Lonchura striata: one gene and its partners. The protein of the gene in region 1 purifies or fractionates together with the protein of each later gene. This does not show direct contact. Links are inferred from orthologs where the notes say so. Each region holds a gene or a part of one and is shown in the gene's direction. Other genes may lie near its edges.

What was found.
Region 2: the proteins of SKP1 (region 1) and FBXO21 purify together in Homo sapiens (affinity purification with mass spectrometry; 6 studies listed by BioGRID and IntAct, with this or other methods). This does not show direct contact. The link is inferred for Lonchura striata from reciprocal best matches to the Homo sapiens genes SKP1 and FBXO21.
Region 3: the proteins of SKP1 (region 1) and FBXL4 purify together in Homo sapiens (affinity purification with western blotting; 9 studies listed by BioGRID and IntAct, with this or other methods). This does not show direct contact. The link is inferred for Lonchura striata from reciprocal best matches to the Homo sapiens genes SKP1 and FBXL4.
Region 4: the proteins of SKP1 (region 1) and MTUS1 purify together in Homo sapiens (affinity purification with mass spectrometry; 3 studies listed by BioGRID and IntAct, with this or other methods). This does not show direct contact. The link is inferred for Lonchura striata from reciprocal best matches to the Homo sapiens genes SKP1 and MTUS1.

What each region holds. Positions count from the first base shown.
Region 1 is NC_134617.1:9,574,440-9,581,904, forward strand, and holds the start of SKP1 (S-phase kinase-associated protein 1), read left to right. Parts: upstream 1-4,457; 5' UTR 4,458-4,550; intron 4,551-7,174; coding exon 7,175-7,271; intron 7,272-7,465. UniProt on the Homo sapiens protein: Essential component of the SCF (SKP1-CUL1-F-box protein) ubiquitin ligase complex, which mediates the ubiquitination of proteins involved in cell cycle progression, signal transduction and transcription.
Region 2 is NC_134620.1:3,272,733-3,279,759, forward strand, and holds the start of FBXO21 (F-box only protein 21), read left to right. Parts: upstream 1-4,023; 5' UTR 4,024-4,035; coding exon 4,036-4,241; intron 4,242-6,511; coding exon 6,512-6,647; intron 6,648-7,027. UniProt on the Homo sapiens protein: Substrate-recognition component of the SCF (SKP1-CUL1-F-box protein)-type E3 ubiquitin ligase complex.
Region 3 is NC_134605.1:74,118,381-74,126,027, forward strand, and holds the start of FBXL4 (F-box/LRR-repeat protein 4), read left to right. Parts: upstream 1-4,647; 5' UTR 4,648-4,724; intron 4,725-5,393; exon of another isoform or gene 5,394-6,258; intron 6,259-7,647. UniProt on the Homo sapiens protein: Substrate-recognition component of the mitochondria-localized SCF-FBXL4 ubiquitin E3 ligase complex that plays a role in the restriction of mitophagy by controlling the degradation of BNIP3 and NIX mitophagy receptors.
Region 4 is NC_134606.1:29,696,493-29,704,365, reverse strand, and holds the start of MTUS1 (microtubule-associated tumor suppressor 1), read left to right. Parts: upstream 1-4,873; 5' UTR 4,874-5,040; intron 5,041-5,199; exon of another isoform or gene 5,200-5,331; intron 5,332-7,873. UniProt on the Homo sapiens protein: Cooperates with AGTR2 to inhibit ERK2 activation and cell proliferation. May be required for AGTR2 cell surface expression. Together with PTPN6, induces UBE2V2 expression upon angiotensin-II stimulation.

The sequences.
Region 1 (7,465 bases):
ATGAGTATGGGGAGGCCCTGGCACAGGCTGTCCAGAGAAGCTGTGGCTGCCCCATCCCTAGAAGTGCTCAAGGCCAGGTTGGATGGGACCTTGAGCAAGCTGGTCTAGTCCACAGCAGAGGGTTGGAACTGGATGAGCTTTAATGTCCCTGATAACCTGAATCATTCTAGGATTCTCTGATTCTCTGACCTGGACTCTCACCCAAGTGCTGGGCTCTGCCACCCACCATTTTGCATTGCTGGGGTACAACTTCTATGAAGAGTGACACCTTCTAAAGGATGCTGCTTCAATATAAATTTTTCTGAAGTGGAAATGCAATAATTAGCTTTTTATATAATTAGCTTTTTCAGACTTGTACTGAGAACAAGAATTTTCCTCTTCTGCTGCTGCATTGTTCCAAGACTGCTTTAAAAAACAGTGGCCTTTGAGCTTGCCAGTGTCCTTCTACCATCTCTCTCACATGAATAATCCTGATGTTTTCTGGTTTTACACTGAACCAGTCAGTTCAATTATTTTCAAACTTGATGTGGCTGCTTGTTTAAAAAAATGCTCATCTTTTGTATTCCTGAAAAAAGATGATTTTTTGCAGCAAGTCTCATTCTCGCCTACATGTAAATTAGATTCTTTTTCAGATTCCATTGTCATACCAGGCTCTCTCCCTGGCTTGCTCTCCTTGGTTCCATGAATTCAGGATGAGTTCTGTGGATTTTTCCAACTTGTTGATGAAGCAAAGCTGAGCTCTTTCAAGCCTGATTGTCATTAGACTTTTACAATGCCACATCACATTTGTATTGAAAAATAATCAGTGTTACCTCCAGTCTCTAAATCACCACCAGCAGCTAAAAAAAATGCTGTTTCTCTGTCAAAGTGGAATGTGAGGCTGTGGAGCAGATGCAGGGCTGTGTCCAGGAGGCTGCTCCCTCACATTCAGCATGTTAAACTCTTCCCCTGTGGCTGCATAGCTGCTCAACTGGCTGCACCTGCAGCCCAGGGATGCTGTGAATATGTAGGTCAGGGCTCTTCTGGATCTGATTAAGCATTAAATCAAGCTCAAATCTTTTCAGGTATTTGCTTTGGTGTTAAGCTGTTCCCTTCCTCCTTCATGTTCTCAGTGGTCAAAGGCCCTTAATTGTAATTTACCCGTGGCTGACACATGGTGTGATTCCCTGCACTCAGGAGAGGAATGCTCAGCTTTAGGATTATTTGCAGTGCAATCATTACCTGTGTGTGGAACAATTGAAATTGGGCCACTCCTTTTTTTAAGCAATCTTGTTTTTGCCTCGCAGCTTTAGCCAGGGATAGGGGTTTTGTGCCATTAATACTGCCTGACTCACAGCACTTGGGCTATTGCCCCTGCAGCAGCTGCTTTTTCACAACTGATAACGGGAAGCATCTGGAGTGGCTGGGGAGGTTTGTTGTGTGATATGTAGGGCACAGTGGGAGGTGCTGTCGTGTGATTATAGCCTATCTGTGACAGCCATCTGTCTCTTTTTGGGGTGTGGGGTGTTTTTGCTGTTTTAACTTTCCCAAACTTCTAATTCAACAGTAGGATTCAAAATTCACTGAGGATGGAATTTTTTCCTTTGGAAAACTGTAGAGAACTGTACCAAGTATAATCAGCAGTATAATTTTGAATTAAATTTATGCACAACTATAATTAAGCATGGAATTTAGCTTTCTGCCTGTTTCTAGAGTCCATTATATTTTTCTTGTGTTGAGCACAAACCCCATCCCCCCTTTGCTGAGCCTGATTTGTAGTCTGTGAGCTTGTGCTTGCTGGTCATGAGCCAAATCAGAAACCTTGGTCTTCGGCAACATTGGGAAAGGGGCTTTAGAATTTGTAGACAGGTTTTCCACTGGCCACCTTCTGTTATTGTCTGATTCTCTAAACCAAAAAGTTTTAGTATAAATAAAAAATAATAATTTAAGGAAAATAAAGGCAATGGTTTTTAGTGAACTGAATGTAGTTCTCAGCACAGGAGTATGAGATGGTGTGATTGAGGAAGAAAGAGGTAAATGCAATGCTGGTACAATCAAAAAATCATGTTAGATGTAGTCTGGAGGTTTCACACTCTATATATGAGATACATATAAATTAAAAATGAAAATAAGGTGCCATTCAATGGTGAACAAAGAGCTTATGTGGTTATCAATACCAGGATCTCTGGGGAACTTCTGTTAGTGTCCAAGTCTGCTGCTGAGCATCACCTGCCCCCTGGCTGCTCCCTCAGCTGTTGGGAAGAGTTCAGGGAAGCACACAGCAATCCAGCCTGGAAGGGACCACAGGGGTGACCTGGATCCACCTACAAAGTCAGATCAGAGCTGCATTCAGTCTGCCCTAACAAGCTGCTCAGCATCCTAAAGCCCATGGAACAAGCTTCCCAAGGCAGGCAGTCGCCTCCAACGGTTCTCGGGAATTTGTACAGAGGCCTGTTTGTGTGATATGCTCTGATGGAGAGCAGCCAGGCTACCAGCTGAGCTTTAGGCTGTTCTTCCTAGCTGAGAATCTGTTGAATCTTCCATCTCTTCAGAGAACAGCCCCAATGAACAAGGTGTTCAATACTGAATACTTATCTAATTGCAGTCTCACTGCCCAGAGAAGCTGTGGCTGCCCCACTCCTGGAAGTGTCCAAGGCCAGGTTGGACAGGGCCCTGAGCAACCTGATCTAGTGGAAGGGGACCAGATGAGCTGTAAGGTCTCTTCCAACCATTAACATTCTATGATTCTACTCTCAGATGGAAGGGAAGGGAGCAAAGGAGGGAAGGAGTAAGGAATACTTGACAGTCATTGGCTTGGCTACTGAACTGAGCAAAACAAGATTCTCAACTAAGAAATTCTGAATCCTGGGAAAATTCTTCATGTTAGAAGATATTTTCCAGTGGGTCTGGCTGTCATTTGTTCCCAAATGTGTGGGGTGCACAGCCTGGGATTCTCTTGGACCCCAGGAGATGGGAAACCTGTGACTTAACACAGAAACATTAAGGCTGGAAAACATCTCCAAGATTACCAAGTCCAACCCTTGACTGATCAGCACCTTGTCAACCAGAGCAGAGCACTCATTGTTTCATTAAGTTGTTTCTTGCACACCTCCACGGATGGTGACTCCACCACCATGCCAGTGTTTGACAACCCTTTCAGGGAAGAAATCCTTGCTGATGTCCAACCTGAACCTCCCCTGGTGCTGCCTGAGGCTATGAATGATGCTGCACTCTGCAGTGTGGTGCTCTTGCAGGTATCAGTGTGCTTACAGGCATCCTGGCTGTGTCTGCATTGGAGCAGTGTGAAAACATGCTTTTTGGTTCCTAATACATTTTTGTTTAGGATTGGAAGTAAAGCAAATTGTCGGAATCCTGCGTTGTCACTGTGTAAATGCCATGCTTACTTGAAACCCATTTTGCCATGGAGAGCTGAGGCAAAACTGGGCTCAGCAGCAGAGCATGTGTGACACTTCACAGCAACGTGAGGGCTCATACCCTGCCCTTCCTCACAATGCAAAACCCTTCACATACCTTTTTTTTCCCTGAAAACCCCGTACCTGTCGCTTTCTAGCACACACGGGTGACCTTTCCGCTGTCACCCGTGCTGGGGGCAGTGCTCCGGTGGGGCGGTGCTGTGTTTGGGTGCCCAGCTCGGCCCGGGGGCTCTTTGCACAGCTGGTGTCCAGGGATGCTTTAGAGAGCTGAGCTAGAGCTGCTGAAATTCCTGGCGGAACCTAGGGCAGATGTTCTGTGAGCACCACTCACAGCTGGATCCATTTCTGGCTCCATGAAAGCTCCCGCACGTATTTCCACTGGAGGAAGGCTGTCTGATGTTGGAACAATTTTAAACTAGCCGGTTGTTCAATGTTGTTTTTCGGCTAAAATGTCTTCCGCCTCTGGAGGAACCCCTGATGGCATTTCACCGTGTTTACCTGCGGGAAGCCTCACAGATATTCGCTTACCCCTGAGCCTCGGCCTTTCTCCCCGTGAAGCAAAACCAGCACGGTGGGCGTCCTGGGGCGAGCCCGCGTTACCCTGAGTGACCGATTTCACCACACGAGCTGCCAGCCCCGGACACCGGCGCCCTCCGCCGCCACGGGAGCCCCGCGCGGCCCTCAGGGGGGAACGGGGCCTCACAACGGCCGGGCCGGGCCCGTTCCCCGCTCCCCGGGCCGGGCCGGGCCCGTTCCCCCTCACGGGGCCGGGCCGGGCCCGCGGCGCCGCCTCAGCCCGCGGGAAGGGCCCTGGCCTCCGTCTATTGTGCGGCTTCTGGCGCGGCTCCATCGCTGCCTGAAGAACTCTCCGGCAGCCGCTCCTTCCCCCCGAGCTCGACTCGGCTCCGCTCCCGCTCCGCACCCCGCGGAAGCGGCGCGAGTCCCGGTTTTTGCCGTTTGGGAGCCGCGCTGGGGTGTTCCGCTCAGGCGTTCGCGGCGGGCAGCCCGGGCGTTGCGAGGCGGCGGGAGGCGGGTCCTTGCCCCTCCCCCGCTCGGTATAAGAGCGCCGCCGCAGTCGGGCGCGAGCGCCGCCGCCGCCTCCTCACGGTCCGTGCGCGGAGCCGCCGCCGCCTCACGGTGAGGCCCGAGCGGGGCGGGGGGCGCGGGCCGTGTGGGCGTGGAGGGCGCGGCCTGCCGCGGACGGAGGGTCGGGAGGCCGCAGGGCGATCGCGGGGGCCGGGCCGGGCGGAAAGGTGAGCGCTCCCGGCCGTGCGGGGATGCAGCTCCCGGGGCTCGCTGGGCCCGAGCCCGCCCGGGCCGTGCGGGAGTGCAGCTCCCGCGGGGGCGGCGTGGGGAGCGGTGCCCGCGGCGGTGGCGAGTGCAGCCTCCGAGCAGCCCGAGCCTCCCCCGCGGCTCCCGGGCTGTTGTGCCTCCGCCTCCCGCTGCCCGCCGTGACCCGGAGCGGCCGCGCCTCGGGTGCGCGTTCGTTACCTGCTCCTGCTCCTGGATACCGGCGCTGGCGCGGGGGAGGCAGCGGGATCCATCCGGAATGGCGCTGAGAGGCGCAGCTGTAGGTGGCTGAGCTCGGCGTTTCAGGCTTAGACGAGTAAATTACCGCTGTAATTCAGGTTTGGCTTGAGCTCGGCTGGCAGCCTGTTGTGCTGTTGTCAAATAAAGCTTTTAGAACTGGTTTGCTTAGTCACCCAGTAGTGCTGCTGCCCAGGGACTGTCACCTGCCCGAGCTGTACTGCAGCTTGCTAAAAATTAGACTTGTTTTTTTTTCCTGTTTTCTAGGAAACTGAGTTCAGTGGTGTAAAAAAAAAAAAAAGTCTATGAAATTTTGATGTGTTGTCGATGATAAGGCAGCAGTTTAGCTTTGTTCTACCTGTTTCAGACCCTCAGCAATAACTGAAGGTCTTGTTAGAAGCAGATTTGGGTGATAGGAGGGAAGTATCCTTGCTGGGGCTCCCCCGGCTAAGGCAGCATCCCTGCCTGGCTCTGCTGTGCAGCATTATGTAAGCCCAGGCACAGGGAGGCTGCCTATGGAGCTGGGTTTGTTCTGGAGTACTCCCAGGCAGTCACTGCAAGAACAGATGCATTAAATTTAAAATGTGTGCCTACAGCACTTTTCCTGAACATCATTCAAAGTGCTAACGCAGAACTGTGCTGTAGTCCAGATCCTGCTTTTGTGCATGTGTGTACAAATATAGATATATATATATAAATATATACACATACACACACACTTGTACCTTTGGAACAGTCATGACTGTGTTCCTCCAGAACACCCATCTTAATTAGAAGTAGCACTGTCATATAGGGTTACATTGCTGTGTAAACATTAACTAGCTGCTCATTGCCAAATGGAAATTAAAGCAATGAGGTCTCGGGGCTGGTGTGAGCTGCTTAATAACACGCGTTGGCCGAGCCTCTCCTGGCCTGGGATTGCACAGGACTGTCAGGCTCAGCCTCACTACACTGATGAGTTTTCAGAAAGAGGTAATGCAAAGTTGCTTCTAGTGGTCCTGTTAATTAATTGTTGATAGCTCAAGTGCTACTGTGAGGAACTAGTGTGTGAGGCTTGTAAGTTTGGTGGGGGAAGAACTTACACGATTTAATTGAAAGTGGAATTCTTTGTTCCCAGAGCTGTTCACAGTAGTTGCAGGCTGTACAAACATGCTTCAGTGATCTTGAAGCAGGTAACTCGAGGACCAAAAAATAAAGGAAGCTGTTGCAATGGTTTGCTGCTTACAAATATTTTGAGTGGTAAAGGAACTTACAACACATCCTACTAGCTGATTGAGAGCAAATTTATAAAATTTATGTGGCCAGACAGTTGTGTTTATAGTACATTTGGTTGGCTCAAGTGCACTGATGCTCCCCACAGTCTGCACGTGTGGTTTCAGACAGAAGCTGTCATCTCCTGGCTGCTGTGTCATGTGCTTTACTTCTGGGTTTCAGTTGTTACATATCTGGAATGGTGCCTTTTTTTTTTTTTGCAGAATTTGATGGTGTTTTTGCTAAGAACATCTTTCAAGCCTGCTGCCTCTTTATTGTAGGTCTTACTACAGTTTGAGGAACTTTGTTAAAATGCATGGTTATCTCAGGTGCTAACAAAGTACTGATCTTGCTTCCTGCTTTGCAAGGGCAGTTGTGAGTGCTGAAGACCTTCCTTGTAGGAGATTATTACTTTCTAATCTCTTCAGAAAACCAAACTGGAGGAAAGCCTTTGATCCTGAGTAACCTGGTCTGTTTAACTCTGTTTGGAGCAAGGGGGGCTGGACTAGACTCCTTCCAACCTCAATGTTATGAGTCTGTTCCAGAGGCTATAATTTGAAAACTACTTTTGAGATCTGATGTCGTTTGAGCAGTTGAAGTGAGTAGTAGTAGTTGTTTGGATTTGAAGGCCAGTGGTGGTTTGGAAGTGTTGAAATTTTTTTCAAGAGAAAGATAGCTGTAGTGTTATATTAGAAATAAAAGCACTGTTGACTAATCTGTGTATTTTATGCTTTCAAGTTAAGAATAAAAAGCTCATGAATTAGTGTTAGACTTCAATCAATCCTTGTTTCTTGGGCATGAGGATTAATGATTTTAGGGCTGTTGATTAAAGGCATGAATAATCCGAGTGCACCTGAAGTGGCATTGGGCTTCCTGCTGTTGTGAAGAAAATTTCAGCAGTAAAGGTGCTGAACATCTTTGAGTCAGCTGAACCTGTAACATCTGCTGAGAATTGTGTGGAAATAACTGTCCTTCTCTTGTAGATGCCGTCAATTAAACTGCAGAGTTCAGATGGAGAAATCTTTGAAGTTGATGTGGAAATTGCAAAACAGTCTGTGACTATAAAGACTATGCTGGAAGGTAAGAGTGTAAGACCCTGAGGAAGCCTCTTGGACAGGAATTGAGACAAGCTGGTACTGTGCTGAAAAAGGATTCTCAGGTCTATGGAGCAGCTTTCTCCTGCCTGAACAGCTGTAACTCCTGCTGTTGTAGCTGAAACTGTGTAGGGTGGATGTGCTCTTGTAAAAAGCCCTGGTTAAGAGCACTTACAGGGA
Region 2 (7,027 bases), on another chromosome or scaffold:
CCGTGCTCCAGCCCCTCTCTCAGACTGGCTCTGGCTCTGTTTGCAAGATACCCACGTTGTTCTGAAGCATGCACCTCTCTCTGTATAGTCCCAAACTTCTGATTTTATGGAATACTTATGCCTGTTTGCATTACGGTCCAAATAAAAAAGCGAACGAAAAGCTGGCAGTTCTTCTCTCCTCTCTGGGTTTTTAACACCACGAGGCTGCTCGAGGTCTCTGCTGCTGCCTTGGCCTGGCCCTGCTCTGCCACCTGGAATGCCAGGGGGCCATAAATAGCAGTGACAATCAGCAGCACCCGTTCACCTGCCAGACACGACGCTGCCTCGCCAGGCGCCTGAGTCACAGCACTCCCCGGTGAAAAACACCTTCCCTCTCCTGTGAACATGCAAAAAGTTTAATGCAGGACAATAGGAGACGAGGACCATAAACATTTAAAAAGTTTAATGCAGGACAATAGGAGACAAGGACCATAGAGCAAAGACCTTTTTTAGGGCTGGGTGCATCCTGAAACTCAGCCAAGAGCACCCCTGCAAGTTTGGAAACACCCTTTATTTACCATTTCTAGTGCATCAATGCCTGTTGCATATTCACAGACCCTTATGCACAGTAAACTTTTCCCCAAACCAGTTTACATGTTCCAAGAAGTGTTTAGCCTGGCTCCTCTTCAGTTCCACTTTTTTAGAGCATGTGGATTCCTTGGTTGTGCTTTTGGTCCTTTTATCCCCTCCAATTTTCGGGTCTTGGTGCACACTGCCTTCAGACAGCGAGTGCTGATAATTGGAATATCAATAGCAGTGTCCTCACCCTGTGTTCAGTGGATTTTGTCCCATCCCAGCAGCAATTTAACACAAGCACACTGATATCAGCTATTTCACTAAGCTTAATTAAACAACAGAAATCAAAACTGCATCTTTATAACAAAGTTACTTTAACACCACACATATAAAATCCATTTAAATATTTGCAAAAAGCCAATATTGTAATACATATCTATGGATCCCATCATTTATCCCGTGTCCTCGGGGGAAATGTCACAGGGCTGGCTGTGTGCAAACCAGGGTGAGTTTTGGAGCCTTGGGAACACAGCAAAAGCAGTGCAGGCAGCAGCTGAGAGGCCTGGGAATGAGGAAGAAATGAGGAAGAAATGAGGAAGAAATGAGGAAGAAATGAGGAAGAAATGAGAAAGAAAGAAATGAGAAAGAAAGAAATGAGGAAGCAGCCAGGGCAATGAGGCAGAAATACAGACATGGCTTTTCCCATGGAAAAATGATTTTCCCATGGAAGGGAAAAGGGGCTCATCAAAAAAGAGATTTTTTACATGTCCCACTGCCAGAGAGCAGGGTTAGGTGGGACAGGGGGAAGGAATTGTTCCCTGGGAGGGCGGGCAGGCCCTGGCACAGGATATTGATACACATTGATCCACTTTAGGTATTTCTGCCTATTGATGAGGTCCCCTCTGTGCACCCCATTTTTGGTACAGATACATTAGAACCTAATTTTGGAGAATTTTGGACTTTCCGTGCTGACGGGCACTGGCCCTAAAGAGAAAACCATACCTGACCTGAGGCCGTGGAGAAGGCTTCCAAAATGGAATGATAAAACGAAGATGATGGGTGTGTAGTCTGACTAGAAGTGTGTAATACCACACAGTAGAAAACTTAGTTTGGGGTTTTAGAATATAGCCATATACATACATTATATAAATATATTAAAAATTATATATATATATATAAAACAAGATAGAGGTTTTAAGGTGGAAGCTAATCTTTCTTTACTTTCTTCTCTACAAATTTCAGTAGTATTGTGTAATTAGGCAAAAAAGTCCACATTACAGAACACAGGTAATTAGTTATTCAGTTAAAAATAAAAATAATTTAAGTGTCATTTCTTAATTAGGCAGTTTATCCTTAAAAGACCTTACACACCTTGCTAAGTGTCCTTCTGGTACCTCCTTTGAGATATTTTTACACACTGACATGTCCCCTTTGGACACCCCCTTTTCCATATTGATACCCATTGATGAGGCCCCTTTTGAAATCTTCTTTCTGATATTGATACCCATTGACAGAGCCCCCCTGTGCACCCCATTTTTGATACTGATGCACATCGATGGGGTCCCTTTTTGGCCCCCGTTTCTGATATTGATCACATTGATCCAGTCCCTTTTTGGCCCCCCCTTTCCAATACTGAGCACATTGGTCACTTTTTGGCACCCCTTTCCAATATTGATTCACATCGATATATCAGCCCTTTCTGGCCACTGTTCCCGATATTGATCACACCCATGTGGTCCCTTTTTGGCACTCCATTTCCAATATTGATCACACTGATCCCTTTTCTGGCCCCCATTTCCAATATCGATCACATTGATCCCTTTTTGACACTCTGTTTCCAGTACTGATCACATTGATCCCTTTTTGGCCTCCATTTTCAATACTGATCATACCAATGTGGTCCTTTTTTGACACTCCATTTCCAGTATTGATCACACTGAGGCAGTCCCCTTTTAGCCCCGATTTCCAATACTGATTACACTGATCCCTTTTTGGCCCCCATTTCCAATACTGATCACATTGATGTGGTCTCTTTTTGACACGACATTTCCAATATTGATCACACTGATGTAGTCACTTTTTGGCACCCCCTTTCCAGTATTGATCACATTGATCCCTTTTTGGCCCCCATTTCCAATACTGATCACATTGATCCCTTTTTGACACTCTGTTTCCAAGATTGATCACATTGATCCCTTTTTGACACTCCATTTCCAATATTGATCACATTGATCCCTTTTTGACACTGTTTCCAAGATTGATCACATTGATCCGTTTTTAACACTCCATTTCCAATACTGATCACACTTATCCCTTTTTGACACTCCGTTTCCAATACTGATAACACTGATCCCTCTCAGGCCGCCGCTCCCGGGACCAGCAGCCCCTGGGCCCTTTTGGTTCCGCTCCCATCCCTCTCCCGCCGCTCCCTTTCCCTTTCCCTTTCCCTTTCCCTTTCCCTTTCCTTTCCTTTCGTTTCCTTTCCCTGTCCCTGTCCCTTTCCCTCTCCCTCTCCCTTTCCCTTTCCCTCTCCCTGTTCCTGTCCCTTTCCCTCTCCTTCTGCCTTTATCTGTCCCTTTCCCCATTCCCATTTCCCCATTCCCATTTCTCTCTCCCGGCTCTCCCTTTCCCTCTCCCTTTCCCCATTTCCCTCTCCCTTTCCCCATTCCCATTTCCCCATTCCTATTTCCCCATTCCCATTTCCCATTCCCCTTTCCCGGCTCTCCCTTTCCCTCTCCCTTTCCCCATTTCCCTCTCCCTCTGCCTTTCCCCATTCCCATTTCCCATTCCCCATTCCCCTTTCCCCATTCCCATTTCCCTTTCCCTTTCCCCATTCCCATTTCCCTCTTCCTTTCCCTCTCCCTCTCTCTGTCCCTGTCCCTGTCCCTTTCCCTTTCCCCACTTCCCCATTCCCATTTCCCCATTCCCATTTCCCCATTCCCCTTTCCCTCTCCCGGCTCTCCCTCTCCCTTTCCCCATTTCCCTCTCCCATTTCCCATTCCCATTTCCCATTCCCATTCCCATTCCCCATTCCCATTCCCCATTCCCATTCCCATTCCCATTTCCCATTCCCCATTCCCATTCCCATTCCCATTCCCATTTCCCAGTCCCCATTCCCATTCCCATTCCCCATTCCCATTCCCATTCCCATTCCCCATTCCCCATTCCCATTTCCCCATTCCCATTTCCCCATTCCCATTTCCCCATTCCCATTCCCATTCCCATTCCCATTTCCCATTCCCCGTTCCCATTCCCCGTTCCCATTTCCCATTCCCATTCCCATTCCCCATTCCCCATTCCCCATTCCCATTTCCCATTCCCATTCCCATTCCCATTCCCATTCCCATTCCCATTCCCATTCCCATTTCCCATTCCCATTCCCATTCCCATTCGCATTCCCATTCCCATTTCCCTCTCCCGCCGCTCCCGGGCCCCTCCCCGGAAGCGCCGGCGGCCCCGCAGCGCAGGTAAACAGCCAAGATGGCGGCGGAGGCCGCGGGCGCGCCGGGGCCCGGCAGCGGCGGCGGGACGGGCCTGACGGACCTGCCGGGCGAGCTGCTGGAGCTCATCCTGTGCTGCGACGTGCTGGGCGCCGCCGACATCGGCCGCGTGTCCTGCACCTGCCGCCGGCTGCGCGAGGCGTGCCAGCCCCGCGGCAAGGTGTGGCGGGAGCGCTTCCGCCTCAGGTGGGCAGCGCGGCCGGCGGGGATCGGGCACCGCGGGGCCGGGCGCGGTCGGGAGCGGGGCGGCGGCCGGGCCGGGCGAGCGCCGCCGGCACCACCCGGCCCCGGCCCGAGCGGGGCACCGAGCGCTGTGCCGGGGAGCGCGGCTTCAGAGGCGTCACCCGTGCCGGGGCACCGCCGCTGTGCCGGGCCTGTCCAGCCCGGCCTGCAACGCTGGCGGCTTCTCCGGGCGGGTGTCCCGCACCCCCCGAGTTCTCCCGCAGGTCTTGTAGGAGATTTCTGCTTGCCGCCCTTCCAAAGCCCCGGGGAGGGACCAGGCTGAGCCTGCTGCTCGCAGGGGCTCCCCCTTGGCCGCAGATCAGTTCTGTGGCCCTTTCCACGCCGGGGCCCGTGGATTCCCTGCGTTCCCAGGGCCAGCCCGGGCTCTGGCAGTGGAACCATACACGGGGGTTGTGCATTGGGCCTCCTTGACCCCTCCAGAACTTCCAAAACAACAGGCAAGACCCATCTCAGGAGTGATGCTGGGCAGCACAGAGGTGTTCATGCATGAGGGTTTGGGGAGAGCTGTTCTCACAGATTCCCAGACCCTTGGGGTGGGGTTTTGCTGCTGTTCTGTTTCCCCCAGGCTGCTGTGCATGTTTTGCCTGGGGGTGATGCTGGTCTCAGCAGTCCTGGGGGCAGCTCCCCTCATCCCCGGGGCTGTCCAGCCTCATCTCTTACCTGCCTTTGTCTGTGTTGGCACAGGAAAAGCAGCAGAATTGCTTTCTCTAGCTGCCAATTGTATCCTGAAATTCAGCTCAGCCCATGTGTGGGGATTGTTCCCTTTTCATAGGGGTAAAAAAGCTGCTGAGGAGTTACAGCTTCCCCACTCCAGCAAGCCATGGCTCTGGGACTGACTTTCAGCAGTTCAGTGGCTGCAATTCCTGCAAGTTCCAGCCTGGTTGGGATCCAGCAGCTGGAATGGGTGATTGACACACGTTGCTCTCCTCCTCGGTAATGGAATTTTTGGCAGGAGGCTTCACCCTGGCCTTGCCATCCTGGCTGGATTCCATTGTGAGCAATGGCACTTTCATCTTTCCAAAATTCCCACCGTCCTTCCAGCCCATGAAATTCTCCTTTCTCATCCCAAAATAAAGGACTGTGATGATTATTGTGAGGTGGCTGCAGTTCAGCAGTAGCTGAAAGGCCAGGAATTCATCAGGAGAGAGGTTGTTATGTAATGTGAGGTTATTTGACTTTATTTTGTGGAGACAAGTGCAGGGGAGTTTTATTATTAACCAGCAGTGAAATATCTTCCAGGTGTGGTTTGCACAGCAGTAATAATCATTATACAGGAGGAGTGATTTCAGTATTTGGTAAATTAAATATATATATATATATCCTGGAAAGAACCTAAGGAAGGTGGTTTGTATAAATCAGTACAAATGAATAGCATGTCAAAATGTGGAATAAATCCCCCCATAAATGAAAAGAAACCCCTTTCTCTCAGCTTCATTTCCAAAATATTTCCATCTGTACTGATTCTTGTTCAGGTTTCTCACACAAGTGATCCTGGTATCTTCACAGCAGCAGGAATTGCAGTGCTGGCACATATTTTATGGCACAAAGTGTGTTGTGGCACCACACACCCACTTGATTCAAAAAGGTGCTGCTAACAGCCCCCAAAGCATGCCCTAAAGTTGGATTTTCAGATGAATTTGAAATTCTGGGTAAGCTGTGAAGTGTGTGGAGTGTGAGTCTCAGTGAAGGAGGGTTTTTTACAAGAAAACTGTGAGGCGGTTTATTTTTTTCCTTCAGACAATTATTTCTTGTCTCTTGTCAAACTGCAGAAGCATTTAGCTGTCACAATTTGACTTCAGATTGTATTTTCCTCCCATAGATGTTGCCACCAGCAAGGGCAGTGGAGGGAGCTGTGTTTTTAATGAGCTCCCTGAGGTGGTAGGAAAACACAGGACAGAGAATTCCCCTTCTGTTCAGTGCCAGCTTGGCTTCCTTCTTTGTGGCAAACTCTTTTAATTATAAAACTGAAGCATTTAGGATGTTTAGGTATTGAAATCCTGGAGTGGGAGCCTCTGAAGGTTTCAGGAGAGCTTGCTTTTAAATAATCATTAATGCACAGCTGCAGTCGGGGAGCTGTGCTTTGATGTCTGAGGTAATTCAATACAGTTGAAAGCTGGGCAGTGTTTGGGCACTGTCTCAGCCCCTCAGGTCGTTCTGGAGGTTCTCAGGGAGGTGAAATATTAATGATGCTGTTGGTTTGTGTGTGTGTGCAGGTGGCCATCCCTGCTGAAGTACTACAGCCACAGTGACGGTGTCAGCTGGCTGGAGGAGTACAAGGCACGGCACAACGCGGGGCTGGAGGCACAGAGGATCGTGGCTTCCTTCTCCAAAAGGTTCTTCTCAGAACATGTAAGTCCTCCCCTCTTTGTGTGTGTGTGTGCAGCAGCCCAGCCACTTGTCTAATAGAATCCTTAATAAAGTCATTAATTGAATCATTAAGGTTGGAAAAGACCTCCATGATCAGAACTGAACCGTGTCCCTAAGCACCACATCTTCACATTTTCTGAGCCCTTCGAAGGACCTCTGAAAAGCCAGAGCTGACATTCCTGAATTCCCTCAGGAAATCAAATCTTGCCACTGTGCAAGGAGGCTCTGAGTGGCTGTAGGGCTGCTTGTCTGAGCTTTATCTGCTGGACAGTAACCAGAGCTCAGTCAGGCTGAGATTTCTCACAGCATCCTGGGATGAAATCTTGTGTACACAAAGAACATCATTATTATTCTTTCAGAAA
Region 3 (7,647 bases), on another chromosome or scaffold:
AGCCATTCAAATGCTGAATCTGACAATTGTATTGTCATACAATTTATAAATATATAAAATCATGTATACTATAGACTAGGGATTTTATGGGAGACAAAGCAAGACATCACCCTTGCTCAATGAATCTATAGCCTAAATTCTATGTCATCTACCAAGGACTAGTAACAAGCAGCAGAGACATAGACAAAACACAACAGTTGTTTAACAGCATATAAAATGTAAGCACATACTTCTACTGTGGCACATTCTTCTCTTTTATCTTTTGATAAAATACAAGAAAATAAAGATAAAATTAAGTAAATATGATCAATTACACAATACAGCATTTTCATAGAATATAGCAGAGAAAGAGAGAATGCTACATAAAATATTGTTACATGGGAAAAAAACCCACAGGGTATAAAAAATTTCCTTTTGATAAAAAGAGTTCTGCCTAACATAACAGCCAAAGCATTGTTAGGCCTGGCTCATGGGAACACCTACAAACTTAGTCTCATTGACTTAGTATACTTTCTCTTCCATTTCAAAGAATAGATGTAATTTCACATATCAAAAAGCAGTAATGCTGATCCAAAAGGCAGTGAAATGCTTTCCATGCTGGGTTAATATCCTGGGATGCAGAGGAAGCCAGAAAGAACAATTCACACCAGTGGCAATGGTGTTATGCATATGCACTCAGTGCTGCTTTGCAGTTAGCACTTGGATAAGTTTGTTGTATTAAAAATAACTCACTGATTAAAATGATTTCATTATTTCTAGGGTTCAGTTTAACACTTTAATATACAAAGCTTTGCAAAGTGATAACAAAATTCAGATCAGTTCCTGGATGGGAGCAGGACCTGGTGACTTACAAGTCAGCTAATTTCCTGCATTAATTGTTTACTTTCAAAATGTTTTCTCAAATGATACAGGCCTCCCTTGTTTGCAAACTTAACTAATGTGTTACCCTGTTTCCAGTGGGAGTTGTCTTCTAATTGTTTGCACAAGGCTCAGGTAAGCCCCACTGCTTCATCAGCAGATTCTTTGTTCTCACTATAAATTCCTCTGCTACATATGCTTTTCCAACAACCACTTTGCCTGGAAAAGTGGATCTGGACATCTTTTGTGAGTGCAGAATATAAATGAGCCTTTGACCTCTAACGACCAATAGCTGGTGTGTGGGATCTTTACCTCCTGTGGAAAGTTTCCCTCTGGATATTTTAATAGGTTATTACAATGGTGCTTTGGGATGAGTTGAAGTACCTGACTGTGGACTCAAGGCCTAGCCACTTGTCTTGGGAGAAAAAGTAATCGAAATGTCACCAGTCATATCACTCCTGTATGTGCCTTTGGTATAGAAATAAACATAACTTTTTATCCATGCCACTTACATGGCCTTTCCATGCTCTATGTCTATTTTTGAAATAGCAATATTTCTACTCACTTCAGTTAAGACTTCCCCTCATGAGCAAGACATACCACTGCTTATAATAATGAGAAAAACTTGAAGGAGAAGCAGGATGCTGTTAAGACATGAATTTGGTGATTACAAAGTATGATTAGCACAGAAAAGCCAAGTCTCATTCTTATGTTACAAACAGAAGGTTTCCTATACTCCTCTACCTGTGTATTTCCTTTCAACACTGGACTATTTCTGGGACAAATTCTATGCCTAGTTTTACTGCTGATGTGGATATAGAAATATGTATAAAGTGCTCATGTGCCATAGCTCACTGGAAATTATCTGTCAGCTCCAGATATGGATAACTGTTGAATAAAAACAGATCATCAATTGATTTTTGCAAAGGCTGTGGAATGACAATCTGACAGTAATTTGGAGCACATCTTGAACACACATAGCATGACTTTGAGAGAGCAGCCTAGAAAAAAAGGACACTGTCACCCAATGTCCTCTATCTCCTTCAATAAACACTAGTCTTTCTGCAGTTTTAAAATGCTATATGCCATTGGGCAGCCTCTGTGAATAATGATAGAATTGGTTTTGTAATTTCTCTAGTTTGTTAAGGATGTGTTCACACATAGCACATTCTATTTTCTTTCTGAAAGCTTAAGGATGGTCTATGCAAAGTGAAGAGAGATGTATCTCCAAACAGTGAAAACTTCTGTGCTCCTTAGGCACCTGTCATAGGAATGAAGGGGATATGTTGGATCACCTGGAGGTATCCATGTCTCCCTGTGATGTATAGAATAAACCCAGCAGACTAGACCAAACACAGAACTTCGACACTGCTAAATTTAAAAGCAATCTGTTCCAGCCTCTGTGAACTGGCAGATGAGTGGACTGAGAGAAAAACTTTTCATATCCATCTGCCTTTTGCACTGATACAGAATTCAACCTCCATTAAACAAAGGGTAGGAATGTTTGGCCAAACATAGACCTCTGTACAGATGTCTCTTGCTTGCTTTCTCTTTATAGCTGATAACAGACAGAAATAGAAACTTTTGCATTCCCCTTCTTAGGTGATTGAATGCTAATAGAAAGGGTTAGATGATTTGTTAAACTAACCAATTAAATGGGTTAGATATATTGTGCCTTCCAAGTATTCCCTCTCTTCACTAAGTTTGAAAAGGGAGGACAGCACGAGAGATACAAAACCTAAAATGAAAGCCAGAACATAAACAAAATAGTCTACAAAAATTCATTTTCATGCCTAACCTATTTTCTGACTCATCAAACTTATTCACAGTCTTGTTTCCAATTTTTTTTTTTTTTGTATTAAAAATTCATTCAAATTCTGAGTTGTACACTCCCTGGGAATGTGGTTGTTGAAAGCACCTTTATAAATACTCTTATAGCTTGCATCCAATTGTAGGATTGAGGTGAGGATGAATGATGTCAAAAGGCACCCTACATTGCTATCACTGAAACCTGAAGAGTCTAGCTTCCTCTTCCATGGAAGAAGTGCCTTAAAGTTTGGGGCTTAAACTGTTATTTTAAAACAGTACAGTGACATCTGAGGTACATAAAACATTTGTGTATATATGTACATTTCTGCATGTGTGCACAGAGGCGCATGCAGGTGTATGAATCACTTATAAGCTGCTCATACTGGCAAGTCTCATGTGGAAGTCAGAGTTGTGTGGTGGCTTGTCTGCCACTGCAGTTACCAACCAAAATTTATTCTATACTAAACTTATAGATTTTTGTATTTGAAATGTATTATAAATGCATAGAATTTATATTAAAGCATTATACAAAAAGCAACTTACATAGCAATTATTTGCACATTTTCTGGATTTTTAGAATTATATTTGACCAGCTAGTACAAGTCAGCAACTCTATTTTCTACTGCAACTGAACAATCCCAGGTACCATCTAACATGGAGCCTTGCTGGAGACCTGAGGAGACCAGATGGAGTAACAGCAATTTTAGTGATTATGGCAGGAGCTCTGACTGGAAGGGGTGGTTGGGAGAGAAAGCACTCATGCACCAAATTAAATTATATGACACTTCCTTTGCAATACACAGGTAGCACCCCAAGAAGCCTACAGTGTGCTGGAGTTAAGATCCATTAACAACAGGGCTGCCCTTATGACATGCTAGGAACTCAAAACATGACATTGAAAACATAACCCAACTGGCCTGGGGCTAGGGCAAGACACACTGCCTGGTAAAAAACTCTGTGAGAAACCAGGGCTCATCATGGCACCCCACCTTACCATGGCCTTCACATCTGCAGAGGTAACAGGACAAAAAGCAGAGTGGGCCTGAGTCACAAACCACAACACTGCGAAAATTCAATACCTTGGAGGGAAGGAATGCCCTCCAGAGGGACCCTGACACACTTGAGAGGTGGGCTGGTGTGAACCTCATGAAGTTCTACACAGCAAAGTGTGAGGTCCTGCACCCAGATTGTGGCAATCCTGGGCACACCTACATGTTGGGCGGAGAAGTGATTTGAGAGCCACACTGTGGAGAAAGACTTAGGTGCGATGGCTGATGAAAAAACTCAACACGAGCCAGCAGTGTGCACTTACAGTCCAGAAAAATCAGTGGAGTCCTGGGCTGCATCAAAAGCAGTGTGGCCAGCAGGGTTAGGGAGGTGATTTCCCCCCTCTGCTCTGCTGAGATCCCACCTGTAGTACTGTGTATAGTTATGGTGTGCCCAGCGTAAGGAGGACTGAAGGTTTTGAAGCAAGTCCAGACTAGAGCATGCCCCCTAACAATGCTGAGCAAATTGGGGCTGTTCAGCCTGGAGAACAGATGGTTTCATGGAGACCTCATGGCAACCTTCCCGTATCTGAAGGGGCCGACAGGGAAGCTGGAGTGACTCTGCATCTGTCCTTGTTGTGACATGACACGGAGTAATGGGTACAAACCGAAAGAGGCAGAATTTATGTTAGACATCAGGAAGAAATTCTTAACTGTGAGGACAGTGAGACACTGGAACAGGTTGCCCAGAGAAGCTGTGGATGCCCCATCCCTGAATTGTTCAATGCCAGGCTGGATGGAGCTTTGGCCTACTGCTGGGGGTCCGTACCCACGGCAGTAGGGCTGGGGCTTGATTCCTAACCCTCGGAACCCCAGCACTCTCCTACCCCACCGCGAACCCGCGGGACCCCGCGGGCCCGCCCCGCGCCGGGGCTCGGGCAGGCGCAGCCGGCGGCCCCGCCCCCGCCGCGTCCCCCGTTCCCGCCCCCGCCGCCCTCCGCGCGGCGCTTCCGGCGGCGCCCGGCGCGGCGGCGGCTCCGGCGGCCCGGGCGGCTCCGCCCTCCGGACGGGGTAGGGTGGCGGCGGCGGCGCTGCCGGGGGGCGCGGGGGGGCCGCGGGGCCGGGCCTGCAGCAGCCCCGGTGCGGGGCCGGCCCTGCGCGGCGGGAGCGGGCGGCCGCGGGCGTGCGCTCCCCGTCCGCCCACCCAGGGCACGCTGGCCGGGCCGGGCCGGGCCGGGCCTGGCAGGGCCGGTGCCGCGGTCGGGGAGGGGACGCGGAAGGCAGCGGCGGCACCGGGCTGCCCCGCTCGCGTCTGCCCGCCGCTGTGCCTAGGCCTCGGCGGGAGCTGCGTCCCGGGGAAGGGAACTGCCCCCCGGGGAAAGGAACTGCCCCCCGGGGAAAGGAACTGCCCCCCGGGGAAGGGAACTGCTCCCCGGGGAAAGGAACTGCTCCCCGGGGAAAGGAGCTGCCCCCCGGGGAAGGGAACTGCCCCCCGGGGAAAGGAACTGCTCCCCGGGGAAAGGAGCTGCCCCCCGGGGAAGGGAACTGTTCCCCGGGGAAGGGAACTGCCCCCCGGGGATGGGAATTGCCCCCCGGGGATGGGAACTGCCCCCCGTGGAAAGGAACTGCCCCCCGGGGATGGGAACTGCCCCCCGGGGAAGGGAACTGCCCCCCGGGGAAGGGAACTGCCCCCCGGGGAAGGGAACTGCTCCCCGGGGATGGGAACTGCCCCCCGGGGAAGGGAGCTGCTCCCCGGGGAAGGAAATTGCTCTCCGGGGAAGGGAACTGCTCCCCGGGGATGGGAACTGCTCCCCGGGGAAGGGAGCTGCGTCCTGGAGAGGGGAACTGCTCCCCGGGGAAAGGAACTGCCCCTGCCGGTGGAGAGCGCGGTTGCCGAAGGAGTGGGAAGGGGTAGGGGTGGGATGGAGCAGGGAGGAGGGGAGGAACAGTGCTGGGACCAGACAAAGCGGGCAGGGCTGGGCACGGGTTGTGCTCCTCTCCCCTGCGGGTCCTCCGCCGCTGCTCGGTCACTGCGGTGTTCCGCACGTACACGGTTTCACCCAGTTGCCCGATCACAGCACTACAGAAAGTAGGCGCCGAAGTTGCGATACTATTTTATTTTTTAGGTGTGTACTTTAGGGTGCTTCGCTTCTTGTGGATTGTTATTTGCTACCAGTGCAGGCTGAAAAATGGACATCGATTGGATGTGAATGGACATGATAAGGACAAGGGAACACAGTCTTAAGCTGTGAAAGGAGAGATTTAGGTTTGCCATGAGGAAGAATTTCTTCACAGGAGGGGTGACTAGACACTGGAATGGGTTGCCCAGGGAGGTGGTGGAGTTACTGTCCTTGGAGGTGTTTAAGTAAACATGGCACTTAGTGCCGTGGTCTAGGTGACATGGTGCTTTTAGGTCATAAGTTGAACTTGGTGATCTCAGAGGCCTTTTCCAACCCAATTGATTCAGTAATTCTGTGACAGTGGCAGATACCAACTACAGCCGTGCAGTGAGGAAGCAGCTGACCAGCAAGTAAACGCTATACAGAGTATACCTGCATGGAGGAGCAGTGTGATATCTCAAGAGACAAGTGAAAAGACAAATAAGGCAAATACCACAAATTCCTTTTAAAAAGTACTGTGGGAAATTTTTAATTTTTTAAAAAATTACATTAAGAGAAGAGTTTCACCACAGGTGGAAGGGTAGTTGGTCAGAATGAAGTGGTAGAATGCTGGTAACTTTAGGCTGTTAATAGAAAGGGCTGTCTGATAATTTACTCATGTTGAGGAGCAGTTTCTGTTACCTGGGGAAGCCATCTCCATAAGAGACAGGGTGGCCACTTTGAATGTGGAATAGGTACCAAAGAACTTTTGTCTCCATTGTATCTCAGTGCTAAACCGCATGATGAGTCTGGTCCTAGCAGGAATGCAGTCAGTGAAATGATCTGAAGTTCTTGGGTTTTGCATATTTTGGTACTTGTGAAGGCAACACAAGATAAAACTGCCATATATTCCAATTTTTTTCAAACAGTAAAATTATTAGTTAGAAGTGTGTGTGAAATGGCTTTAGTGCCAGAATATATTATGGGAAGAAACACAGCAAATGGGGCCTGAGTTTAAAGTATACTGTAATAGCTTATTAATTTTTAATTAATAATAGCTTCTAGTTTCAACAAGTTGAGTCTAGATGTTGGTACAATCTAGGTAATTAACAGCAAGAGATGCTAACCTGTGGTAAAAGTACTCTGTTTTAGACTAATGTAAGGATCCAGTATTCCCTCTGTGCATTAGTGTACAAAGATAATTAAGAGATTTCCCATTTACTGTCTCTTATCTAAGCGACACATATTAAATTGCATTAATCTATCTTCAGAGATCATACAAGCCCTTGCTTTTGTCATTTATACATTCTTTGTAATTTGTCAATGTTGCTGTTTCTTCTATAGTCAAATGAAGGAAAACTGCTCACTGCTCCCAAATGTGAGATTAGCAAAGCTGGTGTAAACAGGAATTATTACTTCATTATTATACAGAATTATTACTTATGGCTTTAAAAATCAAATCTTGTGTATGCATGACTAGCATGTACAACATTTGCTTCTCTTGAAATAGTACAAACTCTTCCCTATCATGTGCTTTTCCAGGGATGGCTCAGGGATAAAATGTACCATTTTTTTTTTTTTCCTAAATCTAGTATCTGTTACGTTTTCTCAGACATCTTCATTTCACAGCCCTTTGAAATCTCAAGTATTTTTCTGTGTACTTCCCACCTTTTCTCAGCAGTCTGGTTGGTGAATAGTCCTGTTTCTGCTTGTATGGGATAACATTATGGGTATTGAGGAGTTGCATTTGCCAAACAAACTAACCAAAATGAATAGGTAGAATCATAGAAGATCCTGAGTTGGAAGGGACCCATCAGGATCATTGAGTCCAACTTCTGGCCCTGCACAGGACATTCCAACTCTGTGCCTGAGAGCATTGTCCAAATCCTTCTTCA
Region 4 (7,873 bases), on another chromosome or scaffold:
GGGATTTGTTTTTTTAATAAATCTGCTTCTGTAAAAGTGTGTTTGCTTAGGAAACAGTGTATGTGGAAAATGCCAAGGTCTAACAATTGGCACAGAACAATACAGTTGTCATTCTGCACATGGCTATACTCATTTCAAACTCATTGAAATGACACTAAAGAAGGGGGGAGAAATTAGCCCATTTTTTATCTAACTACAAAAAAAGTAATTAAAATCCTCTAGAAGAATATCACACATATTTTCAATCACTAATATCAGAAATAAAAAAAACTATATTGATTTCTTGACATATTAATAGGAATAAAGCAGTAAAGAGGTATTTTAACTGCACAGAAGATGAAAATTATATTATTTGCCATAAGAAAATGCTTCCTAAAATTATTGAATATATTTGTTTTTGTGAATTTTGCTAGAAACCATGAGCTGATTCTTAAATATCCCGGAAGGAATAAATAATGAATAACACATACAATGTAGAGGTTTATCCCACATATAATGGCCTGTGAAGGAAAGAGTTTATTACATTAGGGAATCAAGTAAACTACAATTAGTCTAATTGTTAAATCATTCAGAATATTTTCTAGTTCTTCACCAGAGGTGCCTGTAAGTAGGTCTGAACCTTGCTTTACTGGAAAGCATATGGAAGAAAAATGACACATGACTAATTTAGCCGAGAGATCTGTGATCTGTTCACTAGTACTTTTTGTGAGGATATATACAGTCTGTCTGATTGTTTTCTAAACTGTGGAGGAAAAATACCAAGGATTCTTAGAATTATGTTACTTTTAGCTATTACAGGGAAAATTGTCAGCAAAATTATAAGATCAAACCCAAACTACTATACAAATACATTTTCAACATTTTCAGCAGCACCACTAAATTATTTTCTCTGGCATACCTCACCAATATGTTATCAAAGCAGTAAGTATACAGTGTAATTCAAATAAGTCATATGAATGTGAAGTTTGTGGTAAAAACAAAATTAAAGAATATTCATTAGTAATTGATCCTCAGAAGATAATGAAGACTCTCAACTGTGGTGATATACTTTTCTTAAGCCAGAATTAGCAGTGGACAGCAGAAAGTTTTCTTTTGTATTAATGCAGTACTTTAAATGTAGTCTGCATAAGCAAAGGGGAACAGTACTCATCACTTGCCAAAGAATTTTAATGCAGTTATTAACAGTCATTACTGGCCTTCTCTCCACCTCAATAAAACAAAAAAAAAACCCCAAAAAATCCAATAAGAAACCCCACAAAAATCCCCAAAAAACCCAAACAAAAACAAAAAACAAACCCAAAGCAAACCAAAAAAAACACCACAATATAGCGCTTCAACCTTCAGCCTGCAGGAATTTCATCTGACAGAAGTCAGCCTCCTGATGCCAGAGAATCAGCCATGAACACACTGCTATGTAACATAAACAAATCCACAACATGGTGTTTTCCCAAATACAGACAGAATAAGACTTATCACAGACTATAAATCCACCACAGCCAAGCTATTTTGAGTGTTAAGAGCTGCAGCCCCCAAGTTCTGGTACCAGTTTGCTACCCAGGAGCCAGAGCTCTGGGCCATGTGCCCCCCATTCCCCACCACACCAGAAGCAGCACTACCTTGGACCAGAATCTCCAATAAGTAGTGGGAGAAGCACTCGAGTTGTCAATTACTGACATTCCAACTACAGCCTTCTTGGCATCTAAAGCATTTAATTCTTGTATTAGGCTTCAGTGGGGTCTGCACTTAGATTTTGGCATTTTTCAGAAACATGACAGGAGGAAGAAAAGGTTCTCTCAGCTAAACAGGCAGATGTAAGACCTGCAGGGTCATGAGGACAACAGTGAAGTCCTATGTGTCAATTCCCAGGAAATTCCCTTCATGACCAGGCCAGAGGCTAGATGGAAGGAATGTCTTTCATTGTGCCTGCTGATAGTCTGTTATTCTGAACAAACTAATCCACATTCATTGGTCCAGGGAAGCAAGGCATCACTTTGCAATGCAACAATTAAGGTCCCTAGCTGGGAGTAGGGAAATTTAAATTTCAATCCCTATTACAACACTGCTTTTCTAGGCAATTACCATATAATATTAAAGTACACAAGCAACCATTAAGAGTCAGGAACAAAATCTGAGTTCCCTAATAACCTATTCAAAACCATCCATTACCCTGGATATCAGCAGGACACAGACTGGGCCATCCTGTGCTGCTGCATTTTTACTGTTATTGATACTCAAGTTACCTGGTACTGTTGCAAATTATTAATACCTGCTGCAATCATATCTATTATTAAAGACAGACATACATTTATCTTGGAGTATGAATGCATCTGAAAGTATCTTTCAGAGCCATTTGTGGAGCCTGCTCCTGACTACTTCCACTGACACAAAACAGGGAAAGAATATAAAAAAGATCTGTTATCTCATTTATTCCCTTTCCCATCTATTGTGATATTCACCTCTTGCTTTGGTGTCTCAAATTCTTTCCCATGTTTATTCTACTTTGGGGTCCAGGCTACTTTCACCCTCATCATCCTTTGTCTTTCATTTATCTTCCTTATTTAAATGATTTCATCTTTCTTCCCTCTTTTTTTCCTCATTTCCTTCCCTTCAATTTCAACATTCAGTGACATAATCTACAGTATTCCTCCTATATTTATAAAACTTAAAAATGCATGGACCAGAAGAGGTAAGGAGGAAAAAAAAAAAAAAAAAAAGCAGAGAAGCAAAAGTCATTATCTCTTAAAAAAAATCTAAGTATCTGGTTTTCAATTTGATTTTTCTCCTTGATTACTGCTGTATGAAAAGCCTAGACAAACAACAAAACCAGGAAAAAGTAAAGAGCCATCAGAGTGGAATGGTTACAGCAAACGCTAAATGAACTGTGATCTTTGTCAGGATAAAGATCAACACCACAAGCTTTCAGCTGTAGCGATCAGTCGATCAGTCGATACTTCCCAGACCATCGCCACGGTGACAAAAACAGAGGCATTTTTAAGTTGTAATTGAGATTAGCCTTGATATATACAGTTGGAGCCATGCCTGTGAACTCTGCTAAAAGGCTGGCTATGTAAACTATCTGCCACTCAGTTTCACATGAGCAGTGACCTAATGACACCACAAAAATCTCACGATGTCCCTTGCTCCACACGTTCAGCCACAGCAGCAGATTCATGCCAGGGTGCTTCAGCTGTGCTACTGAAGTGTTTTCTTCCCAAGGTCTGGAGCACCACACAGACTATCCTGGGGCGCTCAAGTTTTGTACAATGCTCAGCATTGTAACCCGAAAGCACTCTTGCTCTGATCCAGCTTACTAGATTTTCAGTCAGGTGCTAACTGAAAACCCATACATAATAATACTGACTCCAGCACGCTTTGGATGAAGCCCATAAAGACACACAAGATTGCTTCTCATGGATGGGAATAAAATATTTTGTTTGTTACTACTAAGCCAACCACAATAAATAGTTCTCTTTCATGTGGTGATGAAACAAAGCAATCCTTTTCTAATTATTAGGTTGAATGAAGCAGTGTCTTCTTGGCATGTTTAATTCTGAATCATATTCATCACATATATAAATAGCCAGCAACTGTATATAGTAGAGAGGGCAGAGAGGAAGGTCAGGGAACTAGCTTGATGTCAAGAAAGCATTTCCTGTGGAGTCACCAAATCTGTCCTGGATACAGACTCTTACGTTGGCATACAGGGAGCCTGAGGGCAGCTGTGCCCTCATGCACCAGACATGTCAGGTAAGCGTCTCCAACCTTGCTGGCATCTCGAAGCTTCTCTTCCCCAGAAATCACATGAGCATAATTTACTTACTAGGGCTTTGCAATGATGAGTAAAAGATTTTTCCTCTCTGCCTCATGTTATGGGTAGTGCCACCACTGTGAAGACACAACTTTAGCGCCAAATCCTCAGCAGCTACTCCACTGGGTCAGGGAGACTTACCACAATATGAACTTTCTCCACTGAAATCCAAGTGGACAGATCCTGGAGGGAACTGCTGGCTCTACTACTACTGAAATCCAAGATGTCAAGCTCTAAGTGGCAGCAAATAATACTGTGGACAGAATGCTAGAGTTACGACAGAGTCTAGCGTTGTGTCCAGTCACTAAACTCACACACTTTCTATCTAGTTTGTGTTTATAAACCACTCTGCATAAACACAAACTTAGCTCAAGACTCATTGCACAGCTTAGGCCATCAAGAAAATTATGCCTGAACCTCCTGAGACTTCTTATAACCTAGACGTTGCCTTAGTTTTGCTACATACTGTTTTGCTAAGGTAGCTCTTAGCAGACTTCACAGAATCCTCGAGGTTGGAAAAGACTTTTAAGATCATCCAGTCGAACTGTCAACCCAGCGCTGCCATTGCAACCAGTAAACCCATCACCGGGCACGAGATCCAGACGCCTCTTAAGCATCTCCACGAGCGACGACTCCACCACGACTCCCTCCCTGGGCATCGCAAGAGGCTGGAGGAACTTCGCAGGAACAAACTTCTTTTCCACGCTGGCTCATTCGGGCCGGCAGGCGTTGGGCAGGCGAGCGAGCGGCGCGGCCGCGGCAGCGCCCGGGGCGGCAGGGAGGCAGCCGGGCACGGCGGGGCAGGGCCCTGCCGGGGGAATGCGGCCCGGCCGGCCCAGGCGCTGCCCCGGGCGGGTGATTTAGCCCGGCTCTCCATCCAGCGCCGGGGCACCCCGCGGCTCCTCACCCCGCGCGCCGGCCGGGAGGGCACGCGCGGTTTAGGAACCGAAACGAGAGCAGGCAGTTTTGTCGCTGTCGATTGTGAGTTTGAAACAGCGCACTTTGCCCGGCTGGAGCAAGGTCACTGCCATCCGCCGAGACCCGCGCCCCCGGTCCCGCCGGCAGCCTTCAGGATGAGCGGCCGCCCCGCCGGCTGGATCCTCCTCCATCCCGTGCGGTATTTTTAGCGCTGGCCCAGTTCCCCCGCTCGGCTACCTGCGCCTCTCTCCCCGCCCGGCCCGGCCCCCCACGCCGACAAACGCATCGCCCAGGGCCGGCCGGGCCAGCGCCAGGTGAGGGGGCCGGCTGCGGGGCAGGTGCGCCGGACGGCGCGGGGCGGGCGCGGGGCGCTGCAGGGCCGGCCCGGGGCGGGACGGCCGCGCGCGCCGAGCCCGCGGCGCTGGCCGGCAGCGGGCGGGCTGGGGCGGGCGCGGCGCCGCCGGGGCCGCCGCGGGGGCGGAGGGGGGGCGGTGCCGGCGGCGAGAGCGGCCGCGCCGCAGTTCTCTGCAGCGGCGCCGATCTACAAGTGAGGGGTAGTGTTTGCGTACTGCTGTGGGTGCTGACTTGCTGTCTTTTACAGAAGTGTGAGTGCTCCCCTTTCTTCCCCTCCTTTTCTTTCTCTCCTCGCTCTCTCAGCGAGGGCTTCGTAGGGTGGCCGGATAACGGGGCACGGGAGCGGAGCGCGGCTGGGGCTGCCCGGGCGCCGAGGTGACTCCGCCGCTCCGTCCTGCCCCGCTTACTTTCCTCCCGTTCTCTGTGGCGATGCCGCCCGCGCGTTTCCGCGGGCCGGGGAGGTGAGGCGGAGCCGCGGCCTCGGGGCGCAGCGCAGGTGCGGCTGCAGCGGGGCCCGCCCCGGGGCTTTCCCTGCGCTGGGGGGTCGCAGCTTCGGCGGGCCCGAGTCGTGTGTTTGGAGTTTTCGATATTGAGAGATACGGAAATTGTATATGGCTGTCGCAGCTTTTTTTTTTTTTTTTCCCCCTTTTTTTTTCTATCTAGGTGAACACTGACACCGTGTTTGATATATGTGAAATGTGCTACAGCTTGCTCTTGTGCACCCGGAGTGCTTTGGTCCTGCACTACAAGCATGAACACTCCTGAGCTTTTTAAAGGAGTATTTTTAATGCTCACTCCTCTGCTTGCTGCTATTTATACCATGCAAGGTTGGCAAGGAGAGGAGAGCCAGAGTTTGAAAAGGACATTGAGCTTTAACTTGATACCATTGTTCCAAGGTGAGAGAGTGCAGTTATTTAAAATAAAGCAAAGAAATGCCCAGAAAACAACCTCATGAAAACATTCTACCTCTCTGTTTTTGTGCTGCATGATCCAAGGAAAGAACTGAGTATCCCCTTCTGCTTAGGTTATGTAGGTGATGGTCTGCTATGGGGTCTAAGCCTGTACTTAGGTTTTATGGTTTGTTTGCTTTATGTTTGTGATATGATGGACAGTTTAGCTGGTTAAACCCCACACGGAGGGATTATCTGGAAGATGAAGTCTCACACTGGCAGATGCATGACTTTCATTTAGGTGAAAGAAATCACTACTGGTCATTACTGGTCAATGCCTATGCATTGTAAGGCCTTAGAGTAGCTATAATGTAAAATATTGTTAACACTAAGTCTGACAAATTGGATGATACCTGTGCTGTTGAATATATATTAATGGGTAAAAAATTTCTTTCTTCTTTTGCTGATTTAATTTGGTACACAGTAGCAACTCTCAAAAGTCAGGAGAGCTACAAGCTTCTTGTATAGTGAAGCTTTAATTTTGGGAAAAGTTTTAACCTTCATTGCTTATATCACTAAAATTTTCAGAGTGGATGGTAATAATTAATATGATGGTTCTCCCTCTCTGGATTGCTAAATAAGATTGGTATTAAAAATTGTTGATTCCTCGTGACATGCATCGTGCTCTGGTGGAACTGCAGAGCAGCATTGTAGCGGCTGGCTCGCGTGACTGCACACCAGCCACTGGGGTTAATTTAGTTCTCCTAGTGCTAATTATCGTGGGTTAGCAATAGATTGCATTTGAGCACCGTTTTTATGGAGTAATTGTACGTGTGGTAACAAGGCTGTGCTAAAAATTCATTTAGTCACTTCTAAAGTATTGTAAAGCTTTGACTTCTAACTGAGATCACTCTCTTCAGAGCTGTGGCTGAAACAGTGATCATAATCTGGTAAATCTGATGCTAAAACTTTACCTAATATGATTTTCCATCCAGAGTAAGCATGATTCTGTATGTAATGATTCCATAAGTTGAAAATATTTGAACAAATGTTAAATTTCTAGTAGCTAACCCCTTAATTGCGTTTCATGATATTTTTGAGCACTTGTGATTCAGTAAATCCATCTTTACTGCTGGATGCATAATTGTTCCTTATTCTCGCACATTTTACTTACAGCTGAAATCACTGTCTGGGAATTGACTAGCTGCAGAAGTGCAGTGTCAAGGCCTTGTAAAAGTCAAGATTTGACAGAGTAATGACACTCTAAATGCATTTGGAACTTCTGTTTCTAATTCTTGCATTTTGTGGTTTCAAACATTGTCTGCAACCACATATGTTAGAAGTGGGTTTCTTTTTTAAGCAGAGCCAAGAGTCTTGTACAAAAATGTCAACTCTAAGGAGGCTTTTTTTTCTTTTTTTTTTTTAATCTTTAGGGTTTACTATTGAGCTGAGATGTAACATGTCAGGTATCTAAATGGTGTCAACAATCTAGCAAAATAATTGCTAAGATTTGTAATAGGAATTGTGGAACGCAGATTAGCTAGCTGATAGTGTGGGACTTATTTTTCAATCTACAGAAATAAAAACACACTTGTGTTTTTATACATATATATGTGCTATGTACATGTATAAATGTATAAGTTTTGTATAAAAATGTGGCATATTACATAGTCATATGAGATGTGAAAATGTACCACTGCTGTATTTTGATTGCTTGATGATGAGAGATCAGATTATGTGGACAGAAGTGCCATGTGTGGGATTTATGATTCAGCAGAACCTGCTGAGGTGATTGTCTGCCCTAAGTCCCTGTTTCTGTTCTAGTCATTTTGTTCTATTCATGCAGTTTTGTGAAGTATACTGATTTACTGTTTAATTGGGAAAATCAATCATTTTTAGTTGC